Linked DNA regions of Ovis aries. The main gene of each other region encodes a partner of the protein of the gene in region 3 in a complex. Links are inferred from orthologs where the notes say so. Each region holds a gene or a part of one and is shown on either strand. Other genes may lie near its edges.

Region 1 (7,747 bases), on a different chromosome or scaffold from region 3:
TAGATATGAGGGATGTTTTCTCTTTTCTCATAAGTTATTTATAATTTATACCAAGTAGTATACCATCGTAAACAGAAATAAAACATTAATTTTTCTCCCCCCAAAAATGTCTTATCATTTAAGCAACTTGACTGTGTTATTGGAAATCTGGGAACGAGAGACACAAACCCTCAAGGCCCTGTTCTCCAAGTCTGGCTTCCTCTTTATGTTCGGAACAGCAGAGCCCGCGGTGGGGACCTGGGTGCAGGAGGGTCACCCGGCTGGCCCCAGGTAAGGGTGGGAGAGCCCTCACACAGGGGCCTCGTGGAGATCTCTCGGTGCCTCCGGGGCCTTGCGGGTGTTCTGGACACCCTGGGGATGGTCTGTCTGGGGGAAGGAGGCTGGGGAGGACCTCAGGTGAGGGCTGTCCTGGGTGTGCACACTGGGGGTGGGGCACCGTCCGGGGTGGGGGAGTTCCACCGGACTCGGGACATGTCATTGCCTCTGGGGTCTAAAGTGGGTGTGACGCGGCCACCAGAGGCCAGTCCCAAGTTACTCTTCTCGTCTTATACCTTGCACCCAGCGTTTGCATCTACCTGGCCTAATGTTCAACCAGGAGCTCTTTGGGACTTCCCTGGCTGTCCAGCGGTTGGGACTCTGCACTTCCACTGCTGGGACATGAAGATCATGGACCATGCAGGACCATGCAGATCGGACCAGGGTTCGATCCCTGGTCAGGGAACTAAGATCCCACACGCTGTGCGACACAGCCAAATAAACAAACAAAACCCCCAAGAAGCGCTTTTTTTTCTTTGCTCATGTTTGACGCTGGGGCCTGAAGACGATTCTGGAAGGAGAGTCCTAAGAACATGTACTGAGCACCTGGTCAGTGCCAGGAGCAGCCAAGCCGGCATCCAGCCTCATCTTCAGAGATGGAGCTGTCCCTCTGACCCCATCACAAATGAGGGGACAGAGGCAGGAAGAGGTTAAGACCTGTGGTCTGTCTACTGGTGGGGGGCCTGCCCACTGACCACAGCTGGCTGCTGGCCCCTCCTCAGGGCCCTGCCTCCTCTGGGGCTGGGCCTGCTGGGCTGGAGGCTGCTTTCTGGAAATCCACTTAGCACTGACCTCATCTTTGTCCTCCTTGGAGCTAATCTGCTAATCCTGTAGCCCCGGAGGGCCCTCTCCCGTCCTAACCCAGTTCCCCTTCAGGTCCTCTGCCCCAGCTGGCAGCCGTGCTGGTGGTGGGGGGAGGGCAGGTCCAGTGATTGAGGGTAGGTAGTGTGAGACCCTCAATCCCAGGGAGGATTTGGGCATTAGGAGTTCAGGCTGAGATTTCAACTCTGCCTCTCCGTCACTCACCTGCCACCTCTGTGGCCCTGTTCCCATGTAAAGGAGGTCAGTTCTGAGCCAACCCTCCTTACTGCGAAGTTGCCTGTGAATCAAGTTCAGCTCTGTCTCCCTTCTAGCCTCACCCATTCAACTCACAGTAGTGGTGCCAGCTCTGGCTTCCCCAGGGCTGAGCTTGAATCTCGGCTCTGCCTTTTTTTTTTTTGGCCATATCACGAAGCCAGGATTGAACCCTGGCTCTGACAGTGAAAGGGCCGAGTCCTGGCCACTGGGTGGTGGTGGTTTGGTCGCTTTGTCATGTCTGACTCTTGCGACCCCATGGACTGTAGCCCACCAGGCTCTTCTGTCTGTGAGATTCTCCAGGCAAGGATGCTGGAGTGGGTTGCCATTTCCTCCTCCAGGGGATCTTCCCCACCCAGGGCTTGAACCCGGGTCTCCTGCACTGCAGGCAGATTCTTTACTGACTGAGCTACCAGGGAAGCCCCCGACTACTGGACCTCCAGGGAATTCCCACAGCTCTGCCTTACTGAGCTTCAACTTCCTCACCTGCAGAATGAGGGTGGCGGTCCCTCTGCTGCAGGGTGAGGTGCGGGCTTGGCGGGACAGACGGCATAAGTGCCTTGCAAGAGGCCGGTGTTCAGCGAACATCTGGGGAGTTGAACTCTGGGATCCTCCTCCTCAGGGTCCCACACTGATGCCAGGGACATGGAAGTGAGAGAGACCCCAGCCTGGGAGCCCACAAAGGACACCATACCCAGGGCTCCACACAAAGGGCACTGGGGACAACCCCCGCCCTGAGACTTGGGACAGGAGAGGGGGAAGTGTATGAAACCTGCAGGATGCAGGTGCTCTCGTGAGGTCAAGATAAACATCAAAAGGAAAATCAATAGTTGAAATGGACCCTAAAGTCCCACAGTGCTATGGGAAATGGGCTGCCTTAGTGGGTGGCCAGCTGTCACTGCAGTGGAGGGCTCCCAGGACTTCCCAGCTGGAATACAGCCAGATGTTGCCTCTCCTGACAACATGGTCTTCCCGCTGTTCCCTGCCTGAAGGCACCACGGACAGGGAGCCCCAACTCTGCGGTTCTTATGGCAGGCCTAGACCAGCTTCTCCGGGGGACTTTCTGGCAGAGCTTGAGGCACTGTGGGGCTGAGTGAAGGGGACGTCAGCAGAGACTGAGTTCTCAGAGGAGACAACAGCTGAGAGGGACCACATGCGAAAGACAGCACCCCAGGGATGCTCTGGGGCCAAGACTTCCCAGGCAGAAAGAACAGCAAGTGCAAGGGCCCTGCGGTGGGCGGACCCTGCCCTGTGGGAGGAGCTGCACGCAGGTGTCAGGCTGTGGCAGTGATGGGGGCGGGGCGGGAGGCTAGAGGAGGGAGGCTGTGCCGGGTCAGGTGGCCCGGGCGCCGCCCTGCAGGACTCTGCAGAGAAAGATGGGCGCTCACTCTTGCCTTTCTGGGGGCCTGGGGTCCAGGTGTTGTTGTGGGTGGGTGGGTGGGTGGTAGGAGGGCATCTTCTTGGGGAATGGAGGCAGCACCAGGGTCTGCGAGGAGAGGCTGGGCATTTGACTGGGCTGCGTGTCCATGGACTGGTGTGGGGGACACGGTGGAGAGAGTGTGAGGTCCAGAGGAGACCTCCAGCCCGGTTCCACGCCCACCTCTCCTTCCCTTCTCTGTGCTGGGTCTCCTCCGTTAGTCACAACTGCTGGAGCCGTGAGCTCCAGGAAGGAAGGGCTGATCCAGAAGGGGACCTCCCACCAGTCCCCCAGGGGGCACCTTAAGATCTCCTGGGGGTCCCAGCCCGCTGCATGCATTAGGGGCAGTCTGGAGGCCTCAAGCCCCGGTCTGACCCCAAGCCTCGGGCGGGGTGACTGCTTTTCCGTGCCCCGTCTTCGCGGCAACCGGCCTGTGAGCGTGGGGCTCAGCCCCAAATGACACAGGGGAAAGTCCAGGACTCCAGAAGTTTCCTGAAAGCCTGGGACGCCGGACTCCATCTCTCGGCCTCGGCTTCACCTCGGGGTCGAGTCTACCCCGGTCCCCTAACCGCCCCGCCGTCCTGCCGCAGCCGGCTTGCTAGGGAGACCGGACAGCGCTCAAAGCCCACGGCCACGCCCCTTCTCTCCCGGGCGGGGCTCTGGGGCCCGCGCCCGCGCGCCCGCGGGTGCCCCCGGGTGGGGAGCGCTCCCATTGGGCCGCGCCGCCCACGTGACCCGGCGGGCAGGGCCTCGCGCGCCCGGAGCGGGGCCGCGCCTGCGCGCGCCGGAGGCTCGTGCACGCGCACGCGCGCCCCGAGCCCTCCGCCCGTGGAGCCGGCGCCCGGACCGCCAGGTCAGTCTCCTCGCGCCCGCCCGGGCGGGGGCGCGCGCGGTGCGGGCGCGCGGCGGGGCGCGCGGGCCGAGGGCGGGCCGCTTCCTGGGGGGCCGGGACCCCAGCGCCCCGCGGCCTCGGCGGCGCGAGTGAGGGCCCGGCGTCTGCCACGTGCAGCTCTCAGCCCGGGGTGGGGTGGGGGGCCGGCTCGGGGCGCCGCCCGCTGCTTCCCCTCCGTGGCGGGCGGTGGACGCCTGGCTGGGAGGCTTGGTCCCTGCTCCCGATCCCGGGGGCGGAAGACCCTCATCCAGAGTCCCTGTGCCCCAAGCAGCGCCGGGGATCGCGTGCCGCCCCCCAACCCCCTGTCAGTTTGCTCCTCCGCACAGTTTGGGGGCACTTGGTCTCTAGCGCCCCTGCCCGCCACGAACCCCACGGGGCTTCCCGGCCCCGCGGTTGGCGCCCAGGTTGAGCTCCAGGTGCTGGGGACCCGTGCGAGCCCCGGCTCTCAGACCGCATGGGCGCTGGTAGCCTGGCAGCGGTTCATCTGTCCAGTCAGTACCCCAGCTTAGAGCAGGTCCCAGCCTTGGCCAGGCGGCTCGGGGGCACGCTCCTGTGTTCTCCAGGGCAGCTAGCTGGTGGCCGGTGGAGTTGGGGTGGGTGGCATGTCAGCTCCATGACCGCAGAGCAGCTATCGCCCTGGGCCTGGCCTTACCCAGGTGGGGTGTGGTGACCCCACAGGCCGGACCCTGATCACGGGTCTGAGGGTGAGTGGGGTCCAGGCCAGAGGTCACAGTGTGCTGGGCATTCTGGCCCTGGGCAGCGGGCAGGCACTGTGCCTCCCCTCCTGGCTGGTGGGCTCTGTGGTCAGCCCAGCAGGTGGTGGTGAGTAGTGCCTGGGAGGTTAGCATCAGTGGAGTGTAGACTCCAGTGGGTCCTTGGTCCCAGGCTGCAGCCGTGTAGGGCTGTGGACTAGAGGGCGGTCAATGGACACAGGGTGCCTGTGGCCTTGCCTGGATGGGGACCCCACCTCTGCAGCTCTGTGTGGGCGCCTTGCCTCAGTGACCTCCTCAGATCTGTCCATGAGGTTATTAACTCTGCTTCTCAGATGAGGAAATAAAGGCCCAGAGAGGTAGAGTCATGTCCAGCCCCTCCCCAGGGCCTTTGTTTTCCCCCTTGTGAAGTGGATGCTGGTGGCCCTACCTGACAGGCTGCTGGGCAGAGTAAAGGGGGCCGGAGGTGGGCTTGGGGGTCTCTCCACAGCCACCCAGGCCTCCCTCACTGCAGGTATTCAAGAAGAGAGAATGCCCCCCACTATCCCCTCGGGGAGCTGGCCTCCACCAACAGCCCCGCAGTGCTTGCCACGCAGTCTGTGCCAGGCGCCGTGCTGGACTGAGGGGTGGCTGATGGTGCGCTGGTCTGTTGTCTGAGTGATGGTCCTTGGTGGAGCCACAAGGTGGCGTTCCCGTCTCACAGAGTCACCAACACTTGAGCGCCTACTGTGTGCTGGGCCTTGATAAGCTGTTATCAGGGCAGACCTGGCCCTGGCCCCGTGGAGCTGGCAGTCAGGTGGCAGTGCCCATGCCTGCAGGTGGCAACAGTGCCAGGAAGAAGTGGAGCTGGGCTGGGGGCTGGTGAGGGGCAGAGGGCAGCCTTAGGAGGGGCTGGCGTGGCTGTCCTGTCTTGGGCATGGTGGACCACCAAGGCCGCCTCAGGTCCCCCGCCTCACCATACGCTTCTCTCACTTGGGAGAGTGATACCAAGTGGCCGATGAGGCTGTGTATGCCCACGACGCACATGTCCAGGGGCCACGCTGCAGGCACTGAGGACCAGGGTACACATGTGGCCCTGCTCTCACGCACACGATCTTCAGGGCTGGGTGTTTGGGCGGCTGGTGGGGTGTGCTGCTGGGCTGGCTGGAGGGCGCAGGGCTTGGCCTGCTGTTTTCCCTCCATCCTGTTGTTTTCCTGGCCAGGACTCCAGGCCCGGGGGCCCTCTGAAGGCTGGAGGCTGTGAGGGCAGGTCCATTTCTCTGGAACAAGACTCTGTTCACGTCCCCAGGGCCAGAGCGTCTCCTGTCGCTGGGAGCCTGGGCGGCAGGGGTGGTGGCTCCCTTCCAGGTAATGAAGTCGAGCCTCGGAGAAGGTGGTTACTGGGGTGTGTCAGTGCCCACTGAGTGCCAGGCCCCTTCCGTCTGTCCTGGTCTGTCCCCCAGCAACGGGAAGTCGTCGTCCGCCTGCCCTACAGTGAGAGGCCAAAGTTCACTGAGCCTCTTCACTTCCCGAGGTCACAGGGGACCCAGGCAGTGGTGGTGCAGGAAGGGGAGCCCCTCTGTCCAACGCCACTTCTGACCTGGTGCTGCGAGTCCCCCTGGGTGGCTGGAAAGAGTTCCTGTTGGGAATCTGGAAGGGCCGCCCAGGCCAGGGGTGGGGGGAAGCCACGGCCAGGCCCAGGACTTGTTACAGTGACCCCCCTGTGGCCTAGTGGCCCTGGTCTGGCCTGGCTTGGGGTCTGGCCCCTCGCTGGCCTCTGTTAGGAGTGTGAGTCCCCTGCCAGCCCTCACAAGGCAGGTGGTGTGTACACTGGACGTGAGCACCAAGCCGCAGTGCCAGAGGCCTCGGCGGGCAGGGAGGCGGCTCAAGCCTTGCAGAGACCAGAGAACTCGTTTCTAGAAGGTGGTGTTCCTCCAGGATGACTGGCCGGGGGTTCTGCTGTTCTCGGCCATTGCAGCCTCCGGGAGGCACATCAGGAGGAGCTCGTCCAGTGGTCAGACCTGAGCCCCACGTGGCTCCTCCCCCTGTCTCCCCTTCTCAGGCCTCTGAGCCACGAACCCACTCTCTCTCCTGGGTCTTCCCGGCCACCGCCTTTATTGTGCACTTACTGTGTGCCTGCCCAGACCTTGGCTGAGTCCTGGATGAATCCAGGGGTGGATGTCATTGCCCTGGGTTTCCATCCTGCACCCGCAAATGAGGGGCCAAGATCAGATCTGAGGTTGTCAAGGGGGGTGGCGCCCCCAGAAGCTTGGTGCTCTGTGTGTGCACCCCCACGTCCCCCAGGCAGGAAGCAGCATGGCAGACGCGGGTAGGTGGAAGGTTGGGGCTGCCTTGTGCCCTGGTTCCATTTCCTGACTCAGATTCTGAGGGAAGGGGCGGCGGGAGCTATGGAGTGTTCTAGAGCAGGGTGGTGGGGTGGTCTCTGGTGCAAGGCGGGGCGCTGATGTGCTGGAACGGGGCTCAGCCAGGAGGTCAATGCACGAGGTTGTGGGTCTCCCCGGCACCCAGGCCTGCCTGCCTGGAGCCCTCCTTGGTTGATAACAAGTCATTAACTGTCTGGCTCTAAGCCAACTTTTCTCCTCTGGGGTCTCAGTTCCCCTCCTGTGGAAGGGGGGCTCTGACCCGCTGTCACCAGCTCTTCCATCCCCCTAGCCCCTCCTGGGAGCGGCCTGAGCCTGTTCCCATGGCCTCACTCGCCGCACAGACCCCGAAGCCGGGGCTGGCCCAGCTGGAGGAGGCGGGCGGCCCTGCCCTGTCCCCTTCCCGTGGGACTGGTGCTCCCGGCCGCTCTCCGGGCCCCGGGGCCCTCCTGTGACTCAGGCTTCCTGGAAGAGGCGTGGGAGGGCCAGAAGGATTCCCCGCCACCCCACCCGGAGCTCCGCGGCGGCCCCCTGCAGCGGGTTACCTGCTGCCGGCCCTGCGCCTGCACCCAGCCGTGCGCCTTTCTGCTGTGCCCGCTGGCCTCCCTGGGTATCGTCTGCTGAAGCTAGGGTGGCCCTCCTCCTCCTTTGCCTAGCCCAGGCCCTGCCAAGCCAAACATTCCCTCCGCTTTCATCTCCCTACGGGGTCAGCTGCTGGGCCTTCTCCTGGCCTTCACTTCTCTCTGGCTGGCTGCCCACCAGCGCATCTGCTGGGAATTGCCACGAGGAGCTCAGGGGGTGCCCGAGGGTGCCTGGGACTTCCCGCCAAGACCTTGCTGTCCCCTCCACATGGCCCTAGGGAGCCCAGAGCCATGGCCCCAGCTCTGCCAGGCTTCTGGGTGACCCTGGGCCAGCCTCTGCCTTTCCTGGGCCTCAATTTTCTTGTCTAGAGAATGGGGAGCTCGGAGTAGACCCTGGA
Region 2 (7,969 bases), on a different chromosome or scaffold from region 3:
AAAACCACTTCCCTAAGGGTCTTGGTTTCTTTGCCACACTACCGTTATTTCTTTCTCTAACCCCTGTGTGTGGCAGGCCCACACAGCTCCTGCTCTCAAGGAGCTAATGCTTCATAAAATCATTTGAGAAGACCGCCAAATTTGCCTCACAGGGGCGCTGGAAGGATTAATAAGCTAATGGCACTTGGAATGCTTCAGCAAAGGTGCTGGATAAACTCAGAGCACTTATTATGTGTAAAACTCACTGCCAAGGGTGGTTCACACCGTAATAAGGGGCCTGCAGCCCAGTTCCTGATCTGTTTGAGGTGTGCAACTTTCCTTGGGAAACCATTTGCATAAGGCCATTCATGCATAACGACAGCATTTCCCTGCTGTCCTGGGAGTGTGGGGAGTTGGTGGTGCCCTGGTCTCAGGCCTTTTGCTCCCAGAGGAGCGTGTTGCCAACATCTTAGAAAGGATTCCAGCTTAATTTGACACACACCAGTTATTGACTGGAGTCAGAGGCTAACCTCACGCTTATGTAGGCTTCAGAAGCAGACACAGGCTGAATCCTGCTTCTGTCACTTTGTCTCTCCGAGCCTCCAATCTCTTTTTATTATTTGGCTGCGCCAGGCACCTTGCAGGATCTTTGTTCCCTGACCAGGGATTGAAGCCCTTGGTAGTGAAAGTGTGGAGTCCTAACCGCTGGACTGCCAGGGAATTCCGTCCAATTCCTTTGAAAATGAGGATGACAACCACTTCCTCACAGGGTTATTTTGAAGAGTAAACTTGATAATATATTTTAAAACACCTTCTGCAGGCTTAGAATAGAGTAGATGCTTAATAAATAGTACCTGTTATGATGGCTATTAATATCTTTGTTATTATATTATTACCTGACATTTTAGGGCTGGACTGAGAGCTGGACAGGGGGAAGATTCATTCGTTTACTCAACAGTCTGCTACACTGCCTCAAGTAACAGTCTAAATATGGGAGAACATGAAAATAGGCATTTATAATACAAGTGATACAGGCTATGATAGGGGATTGCACAGGTGTTTTGGGACTTCAGCAGAAGAATCAATAACCAGGAGACTCAACAAAATTTTTGCAGAGCAGGTAGTTCTCTGTTTCAAACCTGTGCTTTGAGGAAGTAGAAAATGCTGTCTGCTGGAGCCAGGTAGAATGTGAGAGCTGAGCCTGTGTTCTTCACTAAAAGGGCCTGGATTCTGATCTGCAGCCCCTCTTGCTTCAAGGCCTCTCAGCTCCCACACAGCCCACCAGCCAGCTTTGGCCTGGAATACCTATCTCCTTCCTTGGTAGCTCAGACGATAAAACGTCTGCCTACAATGCAGGAGACCTGGGTCGGGAAGATCCCCTGGAGAAGGAAATGGCAACCCACTCCAGTATTCTTGCCTGGAAAATCCCATGGACAGAGGAGCCTGGTGGGCTACAGTCCATGAGGTTGGGTAGCAAAGAGTCAGACACGACTGAGTGACTTCACTTTCACTTTCATTTTCCTGGGCCACCTACTGTTGGTGAACATCCTGGGACCTGTGCTGTGGTGTGAGGTGGCTGAGTCATAAAACCTTTCCTTTTACTGCTAAACTGTAATGAACACCTTCTTGTCAACAGCAAAGCCCCAGGTCGACTTTGTGGGGAAGGTGTACTGACCATTGCTTCTCCTCACAGGGCCAAGTGAATATGTGTGTTGGGGTGAGGAGGTGGGGAGAGGCAGCCCAAGGGGCAGGAGTACCTTCTAGATAGGTGTCTGACTGACTCACAAGCTGGAATCAAGATTGCCAGGAGAAACATGGGCTTCCCTGGTTGCTCAGTGGTAAAGAGTCTGCCTGCAATGTGGGAGACACAGGTTCAATCCCTGGGTCCGGAAGTTCCCCTGGAGAAGGAACTAGCAACCCACTCCAGTATTCTTGCCTGGGAAATCCTATGGATAGAGGAGCCTGATGGGCTACAGACCATGGGGTCACAAAGAGTTGGACATGATTGAGTGACTAACACTTGCTTGTTATGGGAGAAATATCAACAACCTCAGATATGCAGATGATACCACTCTAATGGCAGAAAGCAAAGAGGAACTAAAGAGCCTCTTGATGAGGGTGAAAGAGGACAGTGAAAAAGCTGGCTTAAAACTCAACATTTCAAAAACTAAGATCATGGCATCCAGTCCCATCACTTCATGGCAAATAGATGGGGAAAAAAGTGAAAAACAGTGACATTTTCTTGGTCTCCAAAATCACTGAGGACAGTGACTGCAGCCACGAAATTAAAAGATGCTTGCTCTTTAGAAGAAAAGCTATGACAAACTGGCACAGCATTTTAAAAAGCAGAGACATCTCTTTGCCAACAAGGGTCCACATAGTCAATGCTATTGTTTTTCCAGTACAGATGTGAGAACTGGACCATAAAGAAGGCTGACCACCAAAGAATGCTTTGAAACTATGGTGCTGGAAAAGAGTCTTAAGAGTCCGTTTGACTGCAAGGTGATCAAACCAGCCAATCCTAAAGGAAATCGACCCTGAATATTCATTGGAAGGACAGGTGGTGAAGCTGAAGCTCCAATACTTTGGCCACCTGATGTGAAGAGGGGATTCATTGGAAAAGACCCTGATGCTAGGAAAGACTGAAGACAAAAGGAGACGGGGACCACAGAGGATGAGATAGTTGGGAGGGCATCACTGACTCAATGGACATGAGTTTGAGCAAACTCATGGGAGATGGTGAAGGACAGGGAAGCCTGGCGTATTGCATTTCATGGGATTGCAAAGAGTAGGCCACTACTTAGCATCCGAATGACAATTCTGAGATGAGGCTTCCCAGGGTGAAGGAGGAGGACAGAGCCCCTTGCCCCTTTTCTCCAGCTCTCAAGGGTAAGCCTCCAGTGCTTCTTTCCTGCTGCCATCTGGCAATGACCCAGACCAATCTCCCAAGTCACTGGTGACCACATCTTCCAAACCAAAACTCCTAATTCATGGTCCGACAAAGAATTTCTGCCCACCTTCTAAACGCAAGAGAGAATACTGAGAGCTCTAGAATAATCCCTGTCTTTAAATTCAGGGTCTCCTCTTTATCACGCATTTTTCATACATAATGAAAAGAGCCCCAGGGGGTAGCTGATAATCATTTTCATTTAATAGTTGAAAATACGAAGATAGGAAATAACTTGCCCAAGATGCTATCTCCCGGAAGTTTGAATTTTGATCTCCTACTCGGATTCCTAGGTTTGCGCGCGCGCGTGTCTGTGTCGCGGGCGGGGAGTGAGGGTAGTAGCACGCAGAAATATCCTGAGCAATTGCAGACGCACACGCCATTTATTTGGGGCCTCAAGAAAGGGCAGCCAAGAACTAAGCTGCCCCGGTTCTCACTTCTGGGTTGGAAATCCCCGAGCAAAGGGCTCGGTCTCCGCCTCGTCCCATCAGGGTCTGGCCTCAGGCCTCACGGCCCGGTCACGGGAAAACACCCTTCGACCTTGAGGGTCACCCTGCGGCCTCCGGCCCTTGCTCAGCCCAGGTGCGGATGGGCGGGCCACGGCGTGGGCGAATGACTCCCCCGGTCAGGTTCTGCCCACCGCCCCCCCGTTCCCTGTCACATGGACGCGCCTTCCGCAGCCAGAAGTGCTGATCGGAACGAACCACGAGGAGGAGCGGGGGAGGTGCCCAGGGCAGTGGGTCAGCGCCCCGCGGGGCAGGTGGGCGGGCCCCACCGCCTCGAGCCGGCCCGCCAGCCAGTCAGCGGGCGCGGAGGGCGGGCCGGCGGGCGCGCGCGCGCGCGCCGCGCCCCGCAGCGCCCCCTGAGGGGCGGCGGCGGGAGCTGGTTCCGGCTGCGCGCGCAGCGGTGGTGGTGGCGGCGGCGCGATCGGCCGGGGCTGTAACCGTCGTCCGTCCGGTAGCGGCTGGAGCGGCAGCGGCGGCCGGTCACGGGGCGAGGCGAGGCCACAGGGCAGTGGCGGCAGCGGGGACAGCGGCAGCAGCCGGAGACGCAGCGGCGGCCGTAGCAGCAGCAGCAGCAGCAAGACGGACTCGTGGACACGCGCCGCCGCCGCCGCCGGGCCGGGCCGGGTGTCGCGCGCCGAGGCTGGGGGGGAGTCGTCGCCGCCACCGCTACCGCCGCCGCCGCCGCCGCCGAGGTGACTGAGGAGAGAGGCGCCTCCTCGCTCCCGCCGCCGCCAGACTTCAATGCCCAGTCCCCAGCTCGCCAGCGTGAGTTGCGCGGCTCCCGGGCGGCCCCCCGCGCCGCCTCCCGGGGGCCTCGGGGCAGGGGAGGGCGGGAGGCGCCGCAGCCATTAGTGCAGGCCCGAGACACGTCCCCGGAAGAAGGGCCGGGCTGGGGCCGGGGGCGGGGGGAGCGCGGCCGGGAAGCGTGGAGAGCGAGGGTGGGTGAGGAGGGGGGGATCGCGCGTGTGGGAGGGGAGAGGAGCGAGTGCTGTGTGCAAGAATGTGGAGTGTGGGGCGGGGGGGGGAATGTGCGTGTGTGAAGGCGAGAGTGTGAGTTGGGGAACAGGGCTGTGTGCATGTGGGGAGAGCGTGGCGAGGGAGAAAGTGCAGATGGGGGAGTTGGGGGGCTGTGTGTGTGTGTGTGTGTGCGCGCGCGCGCTCGCTTGCAGAGGAGAGTGAGGGGAAGTGTGAGTAGGGGGCGGTAGGGGGTACAGTGTCAGGAGGGTGGGAGGTGAGTGTAGGGGAGAGGGAGCGGGGAGCATGTGGGAACGAGTGAGTGGGGGGAGAATGCTTGTGCGTGGGAGAGTGGGGTAAATGGGGAGCGTGAGTAAGTGGGGGAGGGAGAGTTTGCGTGCTAGGGGTAGAGTGATGGGCGGGAGAACGTGAGAGCAGAGTGAGACAGAGCTCGGGGAGAAGGTGAAGGGCAGGCGGATGAGGGAGCGTGGAAGTGTCTGCCTGCGATTGTCCAGTCTGTGAGCAGGCATCCTTGGGGGCCATCCTTGATCGTTTTCTAGGGCCGTAGCGAGCCTGGGTGTCCTGGGTTAGGGAGTTCTTTCCAGGAGCATCTTGTGCTTGGGTCCTTGGGTTCAAGTATGAGCAAAGGGTACAGAAGTCTATGCCAGTGGCAATATCATTTTCTGGCCCTGTGCCTCCTCCTCCCCCCCCCCCAATATTTCAGAACATGGACATCAATTTCCAAATTTGTCGAGCACATGATTGGTTGGCATCCCACCCTAGTCTGGGTTCTGAAAGCTAGCTAAAACAAGTTTGTGTATTGCCTGGGATCCTAGACTCTTGCCTTTTGAGTGTTCAGATAGACTGTTGTAAAGTACTGCTAGTTTTTCAGGTGAGAGGTGTTTTATTGTTAGGTAAATATATAAGAAATGTGTTTTAGGTTTTACCTCCTTGCTACCCTTCTGGAGAGAAGCTTTTAAGAAATAATAGTAATAATTGTGTAGCATGTTGATGATGAAGCTCAATCATAGCATAGTTTATTATTTTCTAGAATTTTTCAAGAAATGTGTAAAATAGCAGTTGTAGCATCATTGTATGCATTCAGCAAATGCTTTTCTGTGTGGAGTCACCAAGTTGTAGCTACTGCTGGATTAAATGTGGTAGTTACTGGCTCCATTGCTCTGTGTTACAGAGTCTTTCAGACAGGAAGTCAGTGAAGTTATGCCTTAGTCCACATGCAAAAGGAAATTAAGGCTTCATCATCACTTGCCAGCGTAATCATTGTGTTGGTGAAGATGGTGAAAAGTTGCTTGCTGGTATTCATTTTAAAAGTAGTCTCATGTTGTATGGTGAATGGACTAATCATTGCCATGGACTTTTCCAGATTCTTGTGTTGTAGAAGGAAGTAGGGGTTCTTGATGAAGAGTGCCTTGATACGGATTTTATACTGAAATGATGAAAAGTCTCTTAGAAGTTGGAAGTGTAGTGTGGTCCTTTTGGTATTCAATGTGATAGAACTACAAGCAAAAGCATTTGTATATAATTAGAAGTCAGAAATTATAAATTTCTTACTGTGTCCTTTTCTTGATCATTAGCATGCTCTCTACTTTGAGAAACAGTGAGTAGTATTGTTATCATTTGGTGGGTGACTGGATTAATTAGTATTAAGTGCCTACTGTGTACCAGGTGCTTTTTATACTCTTGTTCAGTTCTCACAGCTACTATTAAAAGGTGGTAGGTGTTCTCATTTGCATTCATTTGACACATATGGTTTCTATTTGCCAGACTTTAGGGATACAGTGATGAGCCCTCATTGACTTCAGTGATGAAATGAGACAGTATGGAGACTCAAAGAGGTTAATTAACTTGTCCCAGGTCAGAACTTATAATAAGAATGGGAGCTAGATTAAAAACCCAGGTCAGTCTGACTCCATAGTCTTTGATTTTTTCCACTATACCATTAACTTCCCTCACGCTAGGTTGTCTCTCTTTGAAGTTTCTCATCCACACAGTGACCTAGCAGCTTGTGCAGGTAAGAGGTGTTGAGGTTAATGCAAAAGACTGAAGGCTGGAGGCGAGTAGATCTTTAAGGAGATGCTGACTTGAGGCTCTTTGGGGCCTAAGTTAGGATAGGCTTTTATGTGGGTGGAGATTCTGCCTTGGAACTCACTTGGGGCCTTAGGGTGTGTGCTTTGAGACAGAGTTTTTATGAGGCACCTGGGATATGTCTGGGAGAGAAAAGTCTGATTAAAGAAACCCAATAGACTGTTGTGTTTTTTATTTTGGGGGAAAGAAGAAGAGTGTATTAATTGGGTCTAAGAGTCACAGAAGCTGTCTTTTGTAAAAATCTCTCTTTAGCTTTGTGATATATTTACTACAGGAGACTGTGAGATTGTGAAGAAAATATATATGAAAATACTTCATTATTTATAAATTGGACTACAGATTCAAAGTGTTATTATCGCTAAGACTTTACTACTGAGGTAACAGTTTGTTATATTTAGTAGCTGGAAAAGGCTGCTAGCATTTTAGACCACCTTACAAATGAAAAATTGTTTAGAACTGCTGAACCGGGTATATTCTGACTCAGAATAGCAAAAGTCAAACCACTCCCTCTATGAGTCAGGCAAGTAATATTTAATTTGAGCGAACCAAATTTATAGACAGAAACCATTTACAACATCATTGAACTTTGGTGGCACTAGGGAAGAGTAAATGTTTGAATGCTTTTGCACATACTTTTTAAAAAATCTGAAAGCTCCATATTTATGTTTTACTTGAAAAGACCCTGTATGAACAAGGAAAAACATTTATTTTTATTTACTTTGTCTTTAAAGACAGTATTTCTGTATGAAGTAGTTACAGAACATTTTATAGTTTTGAGACACAAAGTTGAAATTTAATGGAGATTTATTTTCGAGGGTTTGACTGTACTTTTGTTGTTGTCGGAATATGGGATTGGTAACCAGTGAGGCCTCTGGAAAAAGCATTTACAAACAAGATGCAGAGGAGCAATACATACATTTTTAGCTGTTGCTCTTGAGTGAAACTTCAGAGGGAAGCCCAAGTTAGGTTGATTTCTTCAAGTGCTGTCGCAACAGCTCTGCTACTTAGAGAAGTTAGTGATCTTTAAAAATTTAAAGCAACTGGAAATCAGGACCCGTAGTTCTAACATACCAGGCTTAGTTATGTTTATTGAATTAGGGTGGTGGCTTGAGATTTTGAGGTCTTGGAATGCTTGTGAAGTCCAGCATGCTTTAGGTTTCAACATAATCGTCTCAAGAATCTTCTTTGTGCTGAATCACAAATCATATCATTTTAAATTCATAATAGCCCTGGGAGTAAGTAATGGCATCCTTCCAATTTTGTAGATGAGAAAATTGGTTTAGAGATCAATTGTTGAATCCTAGTTAAAGAGTATCAGTAAATAGATGGCAGTGGATGAAAAAAAATTTTTCCCCTTGGGGCTTAAAGTACTTAAGTCTCTTTCTAACTCTCCCCCCACCCTCCTCAGTTAACTCCAGTCATTTACATGAGTTGTGTAGGAACTAGTAGAAGTTAAGGAAATTACCTTTTTCTTCGC
Region 3 (7,256 bases):
AAAATTTTCGTCTATAGCTTCCTCGCCTGTCCCAGCCTTGACAGAATTGACAGCAGGTTGGGTCTTGCTTTGGCTTAGGTTTTGGCTTAAGGGAACATTGTGGCTGGTTTGATCTTCTCTCCAGACCACTCAGACTTTCTCCGTATCAGCAATAAGACCATTTGGTTTCCCTGTCATTCATGTGTTCATTGAGTTGTTCAGTCGCTCAGTTGTGTCTGAGTCTTTGTGGCCCTGTGGACTGCAACACGCCAGGCTTTCCTGTTCTTCACCATCTCCCGGAGTTTGCTCAAACTCATGTCCATTGAGCCAGTAATGCCACCCAGCCATCTCATCCTTGTCGTCCCCTGCTCCTCTTGCCCTCTGAGTAGTGCATTTATTTATATGCTTGTTTGTGTTTATTTTGAGGGAGTAGCTCTTAATTTCCTTCAGGAACTGATTCTTTGCTCTCATGACTTGGCTGTTTGATGCATGAGGCCTAACCTCCGGCCTGTCTTATATGAGTCAGCTCTTCGCATCAGGTGGCCAAAGTATTGGAGTTTCAGCTTCAACATCAGTCCCTCCAGTGAACACCCAGGACTGATCTCCTTTAGGATGGACTGGTTGGATCTCCTTGTAGTCCAAGGGACTCTTAAGAGGCTTCTCCAACACCACAGTTCAAAAGCATCAATTCTTTGGCGCTCAGCTTCCTTCACAGTCCAACTCTCACATCCATACATGACTCCTGGAAAAACCATAGCCTTGGCTAGACAGACCTTTGTTGGCAAAGTAACGTCTCTGCTTTCTAATATGCTGTCTAGGTTGGTCATAACTTTCCTTCCAAGGAGTAAACGTCTTTTAATTTCATGGCTGCAGTCACCATCTGCAGCCCAGAAAAATAAAGTCAGCCACTGTTTCCTGTTTCCCCATCTATTTGCCATGAAGTGTTGGGACTGGATGCCATAATCTTAGTTTCCTGAATGTTGAGCTTTAAGCCAACTTTTTCACTCTCCTCTTTCACTCTTATTAAGATGCTCTTTAGTTCTTCACTTTCTGCCATAAGGGTGGTGTCATCTGCATATCTGAGATTATTGATATTTCTCCTGGCAATCTTGATTCCAGCTTGTGCTTCTTCCAGCCCAGCGTTTCTCATGATGTACTCTGCATATAAGTTAAATAAGCAGGGTGACAATATATAGCCTTGACGTACTCTTTTTCCTATTTGGAACCAGTCTGTTGTTCCATGTCTAGTTCTAATTGTTGCTTCCTGACCTGCATATAGGTTTCTCAAGAGGCTGGTCAGGTGGTCTGGTATTCTCATCTCTTGAGGAATTTTCCACAGTTTATTGTGATCCACACAGTCAAAGGCTTTGGCAAAGTCAATAAAGCAGAAATAGATGTTTTTTTTTGAACTCTCTTGCTTTTTGATGAAACTAAGCCATGCTGTGTAGGGCCACCCAAGACGGACGGTCATGGTGGAGAGGTCTGACAGAATGTGGTCCACTGGAGAAGGGAATGGCAAACAGTTTCCGTATTCTTACCTTGAAAACCCCATGAACAGTATGAAAAGGCAAAAGATAGGATACTGAAAGATGAACTCCCCAGGTCAGTAGGTGCCCAATATGCTACTGGAGATCAGTGGAGAAATAATTCCAGAAAGAATGAAGGGATGGAGCCAAAGCAAAAACAACACCCAGTTGTGGATGGGACTGGTGAGAGAAGCAAGGTTCAGCGCTGTAAAGAGCAATATTGCATAGGAACCTGGAATGTCAGGTCCATGAATCAAGGCAAATTGGAAGTGGTCAAACAAGAGATGGCAAGAGTGAATGTCAACATTCTAGGAATCAGCAAACTAAAATGGACTAGAAAGGGTGAATTTAACTCAGATGACCATTATATCTACTACTGTGGGCAAGAATGCCTTAGAAGAAATGGAGTAGCCATCATGGTCAACAAAAGAGTCTGAAGTGCAGTACTTGGATGCAGTCTCAGAAACAACAGAACGATCTCTGTTCGTTTCCAAGGCAAACCATTCAATATCATGGCAATCCAAGTCTGTGCCCCGACCAGCAATGCTGAAGAAGCTGAAGTTGAACAGTTCTGTGAAGATCTACGAGACCTTCTAGAACTAACACCCCAAAAAGACGTCCTTTTCATTACAGGGGACTGGAATGCAAAAGTAGGAAGTCAAGAAACACCTGGAGTAACAGGCAAATTTGGACTTGGTGTACAGAATGAAGCAGCGCAAAGGCTTACAGAGTTCTGCCAAGAGAACGTACTGGTCATAGCAAACACCCTCTTCCAACAACACAAGAGAAGACTCTACACGTGGACATCACCAGATGGTCAACACCGAAATCAGACTGATTATATCCTTTGCATCCAAAGATGGAAGAGCAGTTGGTGGTGCCACCCCCCCCCCAAAAAAAAAAGTTACAGTAGAACATCACAGATCACCATAACAGATATTATTATATCTTGTTATATTTTGTTATCACAGTGAAAAGGCTTGAAAATCATCAGAAATGACCCAGGTGTGACACAGACACTGGACAGATGCTGTTGGACAGATGGTGCCAGCAGACTTGCTCAGTGAAGGGATGCCACAAACCTTCCATCTGCAAGAAGCGCAGTGTCTGTGAAGCACACTGAAGCCATGTAGGCCTGTCCTGCATCTCGTCCGTGCTCAGATGCACGGTCTTTTTGCATTTTAACACCTCTCTAGTCTCATGATTGATGATGTCTTGGATTTGATGAAATACAGTAAATGTGATCTTTTTATTTTACAGCCTCATTCCTTTTTTTTAAAAAAGTTAGTTGAGTTCATTGTGTTGGTTTTGTATATGTATAGTGGGTTGAAGTTTTTTTTTTTTTTTTTACTTGATGTGCTTTTAAAAATTATTTATTCAGTTGTGGTTGCGCTTGGCCTTCGTTGTGGTGCTCGGGCTTCCCGCGGCGGTGGCTTCTCTGAGTGGAGCACGGGCTCGAGGCCTGCAGGCTCAGTAGTTGCGCACAGGCTTATTTGCCCTGCAGCATGTGGGGTACTCCTGGACCAGGGATTGAACCCTTGGGCCCTGCACTGGCAGGTGGATTTCTTCACCACTGTGCCATTAGGGAAGTCCCTTATTCCTTTCTTGACCATCTGGTTAGTGGCCTAGTAGTAAGAGCTTTTGCTTGACTCTGGACAGTTTCATTCCATCCAGCTTTGGAGCAGAGGTCTTCCTATATCTGATTACTGGGCGCAGGGGAATGGGCTGGGGAGGAGCGTGGAACATAGGTGCTGAAAGAATGAGGCAGAGCATGGTGCTTCCAAAGAATGTGCTTCTGAACCCAGTCCCCTGCACTGGCACTGAACCCAGGGCATGTAAAGTGGATTCACACACAGACGTGAACTTCGCTCTCTGTTTTGCCAGAAGATTCTGGAAGCAAGCACACCTTTCTGTGCAAGTCCAGGCCAGCTTCCACCCTGCGCTTTTTTCACTAGTGACAAAAGGCGTGGTTGAGATGAGTTTGCTCCCAGTTCTGTATCCCAGATCTGCACAGCCTGGGCCAGTAGTCACTACCCACGTGTGGCTGCTAAGTTCTTGAAAGGTCGCCAACAGTCCTAATTGAGGTTGGGGTGTGCAGTGAGCACCAAACGCGTAGCGGATTTCCAAGATCTAGTGTCCCCCAAAGGCAAAATATCTGTTCATATGTTTATGTTGATTGCATTTTGTAATATTTTGACTGTACTGAGTTCATCATAATATATTATTAATTTCATTTCTCTTTATTTTTTTTTTTAACACAGCTACTCAAAAACTTTGCCTTGCGTTCTATTTCTTTTGGACAGGCATAAAGGTTTATAGCTTCCCTGGTGTCTTAGTGGTAAAAAAAAAAATCCATCTGCCAGTGTAGCAGTTGTGGGTTCAGTCCCTGGGTCGGGAAGGTCCCCTGGAGAAGAAAATGGCACCCCACTCCAGTATTCTTGCCATGGACAGAGGACCCTGGCGGGCTACAGTCCATGGGGTCACAAAGACTTGGATACCACTTAGTGACTAAGTAACAACAATAACAAAGTTTTATAGAGGAAAGCACTTAGCTGAAGCAGAGTAAATTCTTGAGGGTTCCGCAACAGTCCCCAGTACTCTGAGGCTAGGCTTCTCTCAAGCTTATGTTTTCTCTTTAAACAAGCAGCTGGCTGGCCTGAGGAGGAAGGACAAGAATCACAGCCTCATGCTCTTCCTCCCACACAGTTTGGGCTCTGCCCAGGTTGCCACTGTCTTCATCCCCCTGCCTGACTTTCGTGAAAACAGAGGGCAGCATTCAGAACTGGGAACGCTTCCCTTGGAGACATCCAACGTGGCCCTGTTGGCTCCTGCGTCCAGATGGTCCCTGGGGAGCCGGCGTCTCTGGTGTCAGGGCCTTGTCCTCGGTCCAGCTGCCCTTTACCGTGTCTGTTCTGGTCCAGACACCTCCTTGTCTAAACCATGTTTGCGGCGTGGAGTCACGCAGACCTGGAGTGGCTCCAGCTCCGCCACTGCCTGGGGGGGCCTTGGGCAGGTGGACCTGGGGTCTGAGATTTATTCCTCACAGGCACATGGAGAGTCTTAGGTAGTGAGAAGCTAGGAATGATCTCTCCTGATGCACGGCGCATTGTGGGAACACAAATCAGCTTCCATCCTTGTGGTGGGCTTGTCAGTCGAGACGAGGGAAAACAAGAGGCCTCCAGCAAGCTGTAACGTGAGCGTTCTCTCCCTACAGGGAAGTCCCACCTGGCCATCGTGCAGAAGGTGAACAACGAGGGCGAAGGTGACCCCTTCTACGAGGTGCTGGGGCTGGTCACCCTGGAGGATGTCATCGAGGAGATCATCAGGTCCGAGATCCTGGACGAGTCTGAAGACTACCGTGAGTCCGGGCTCCTGTGTGCTTCCAGCTCATCTGGTCTCGAGTTTACGGAGACGTGTATATCAGAGGCTGGAGGTGCCCATGTTGTTCGAAGTGGGGCTGGATCTCGGGGCAGAGCTGTCACGTCCCCAGGCCCATGTCCTTACCCCTGCGGGGGCTGGAATTGCCTCTCACTGGAGATGGGGCTCACCTGTGGCTGGACCGTCCCTTTGGTGGCTTTGCAGTCCCGGCACTGGACTAGGCTCTGGCCTGAATGGGCGCTGCCCAGTCTTCCTCTTCCTTGGCCTCTTGTCCTGTGGTGCATTGTAGAAGTTCTGAAAGAACCCCCTGCTTTACTGCCGAGAGGTTCTTCCCCGACCAGATGATCCTGGGGCCTGTGGTTGTGTCTTAGGAGGGCCTGCCTCTCAGGTGGCTGCAGTCTGCAGGGCAAACACAGCCCATGCTTGGTGGGGACTCACAGGGGCCCCAGAAAGCTAGCTGCCCACCCCTATGAGTTTGCACGTGAATCTCTTTGCCCGGGTGCCTGTTCCCCAAATGCGACGTCGTTCGGCTCCTCAGACAGCCGTAGGCATGGGGTCTGCAGATGAGCGGCTGTTTGGCACGAGTGGTGCTCATACTCACGCTTCCTGGAGGGGCTGCTGTTCTATGTAAGCTTTTTGCTGTTAGTCTGCATCATATGTTCCCAGCTCCAAGGAGGGGAGCAGGCCTTTCTGCTACTTCTCAGGCCGTCCCTGGAATGCAGGCCACTGCCCCCCTGACGCGGGTACCGGATCATTGCCTGGTGGGGGTGGCAAGGCAGGTTCCGGCAAAGCAGCGGTGCCCAGGACAGGGCCTGGGGTCCTGACGCTGTTCCCCCAGGAGCCCCAAGGCCTTGGAGGCGGGAGCGGCAGCAAACCCCTCAGTCCGGTCGTGTTGGTGGAGGGCTCCTGGCGCCTCAGCAGGCCCTCTTCACCCCACCCCAGGAGACACCATAGTGAAGAAGAAGCCTGTGTCTCTGAACGCCCCTCTCAGGCAGAAAGAGGAGTTCTCCTTGTTCAAGGTGTCTGACGACGACTGTAAAGTGAAAATCTCGCCTCAGCTGCTCTTGGCCACCCAGCGCTTCCTGTCCCGAGGTGAGAGGTGGGGTGGGCCCCGTCCCGGCTCTCCGGCTCACCCCACCGCCCCTGCCGTTCCTGGCGCTCCTCTCTTCTGCCCCGTCAGTATCTCGGTTCACCGGAGGGTGGCTGTCCTCTGCCAGCAACAGAAAGCCGCGTCCGGTGGGTGTCGGGGAGGCTGGGGGAGCCGAGACGGGCAGTGGTGTGCTGACATGGGCTGTGCTGGGCCCAGAGGACGGTGTCCCCATCCCTTTTTCCCACTGTGGGGCAGAGGTGGACGTCTTCAGCCCGCTGCGGGTCTCTGAGAAGGTCCTTCTGCACTTGCTGAAGCATCCCAGTGTCAACCAGGAGGTACGGTTTGATGAGAGCGACCGCCTGGCTGCCCACCACTACCTGTACCAGCGCAGCCGGCCAGTGGACTACTTCATCCTCATCCTGCAGGTACTTGCCAGCCGGCCTGCAGCCCACCGCTTGCCCAGGGTGTGGGGAGGGTGTAGGGAGAGGAATGCCCGGGTGCATGCCCCCTGGATAGGGGGGTCTGTGCTCTCTCCTCCTGCTCTTTGCTGGCAGGAAAGGTGACCTGTCCACCCCTCTCCCTGTCCTCTTTTCCTCCCTCTCTCCCCGCACCTCCAGGGCAGGGTGGAGGTGGAGATCGGTAAGGAGGGCTTGAAGTTCGAGAATGGGGCCTTCACCTACTATGGGGTTTCTGCCCTGACAGCGCCATCCTCAGGTAAGCTGGGTACTCCTCTTGGCGCTGGAGGCGGGGTTGGGTGGGCACTGCAGGGTGGTCTGCCTGGGGACCTGCTGGCCCTTAGCGCCTCCTGGCTGTGTGGAGGGGAGGGCAGGGTTTCCTCAGGCCTTGCCTTTGCTGTTCTTACCCCTGCCAAACCTGTCCCGGGAGGCGCGCATCTGCCCTCCTGTCCAGAGTCCCGGGCTGCATTCCCTCGCTGGGGGGATCAGTAGGGTGGATCTCAGAGGCTGGGCGGGGGCCTGGCTGCTCCCCCGTTGACAGCTGGCATCACTAACTGTCCTTTCTGCAGTTCACCAGTCCCCCGTGTCCTCGCTCCAGTCCCTCCGCTATGACCCACCGCCCGAGCCCACTGACGGCACCCGCCTGTCTGCGTATTGTCCTGACTACACCGTGAGGGCCCTCTCGGACCTACAGTTCATCAAGGTGACCATCTGGGTTGCTCCTTAGTGCTGACTTTTAACCAGCTTTGTGTCCCCAAGGGCTAGAGCGGCTGGTCACACGTTAGAATGGATTAAATTGTGTTTGAGTCTCAGAGCAAAGCCTTGTAC

The links. Proteins that work in one complex are often made in the same cells at the same time.
Region 1: the proteins of CNNM3 (region 3) and PTP4A3 are in contact, whole or in part, in a crystal structure (PDB 5TSR), measured with the Homo sapiens proteins. The link is inferred for Ovis aries from reciprocal best matches to the Homo sapiens genes CNNM3 and PTP4A3. Residues at the interface, in NP_060093.3 of Homo sapiens: Ser357, Asn358, Phe394, Asp396, Lys418, Val419, Asn421, Glu424, Gly425, Asp426, Pro427, Phe428, Tyr429; in NP_001425170.1 of Homo sapiens: Asn5, Pro7, Asp72, Gly73, Ala74, Val105, Ala106, Leu108, Gly109, Arg110, Arg137, Arg138, Gly139, Ala140, Ile141, Asn142, Lys144, Gln145.
Region 2: the proteins of CNNM3 (region 3) and PTP4A2 are in contact, whole or in part, in a crystal structure (PDB 5K25), measured with the Homo sapiens proteins. The link is inferred for Ovis aries from reciprocal best matches to the Homo sapiens genes CNNM3 and PTP4A2. Residues at the interface, in NP_060093.3 of Homo sapiens: Leu390, His391, Phe392, Val393, Phe394, Asp396, Thr397, Glu405, Ala414, Gln417, Val419, Glu424, Gly425, Asp426, Pro427, Phe428, Tyr429; in NP_001356788.1 of Homo sapiens: Met1, Asn2, Arg3, Pro4, Asp69, Gly70, Cys101, Ala103, Leu105, Gly106, Arg107, Arg134, Arg135, Gly136, Ala137, Phe138, Asn139, Lys141, Gln142.

The regions. Positions count from the first base shown.
Region 1 is NC_056062.1:15,515,324-15,523,070, reverse strand, and holds the start of PTP4A3 (protein tyrosine phosphatase type IVA 3), read left to right. Parts: upstream 1-3,583; 5' UTR 3,584-3,659; intron 3,660-7,747. UniProt on the Homo sapiens protein: Protein tyrosine phosphatase which stimulates progression from G1 into S phase during mitosis. Enhances cell proliferation, cell motility and invasive activity, and promotes cancer metastasis.
Region 2 is NC_056055.1:235,537,868-235,545,836, forward strand, and holds the start of PTP4A2 (protein tyrosine phosphatase type IVA 2), read left to right. Parts: upstream 1-3,805; 5' UTR 3,806-4,197; intron 4,198-5,205; exon of another isoform or gene 5,206-7,969.
Region 3 is NC_056056.1:103,695,470-103,702,725, reverse strand, and holds part of CNNM3 (metal transporter CNNM3), read left to right. Parts: intron 1-4,719; coding exon 4,720-4,863; intron 4,864-5,825; coding exon 5,826-5,975; intron 5,976-6,228; coding exon 6,229-6,398; intron 6,399-6,590; coding exon 6,591-6,687; intron 6,688-6,997; coding exon 6,998-7,131; intron 7,132-7,256. UniProt on the Homo sapiens protein: Probable metal transporter.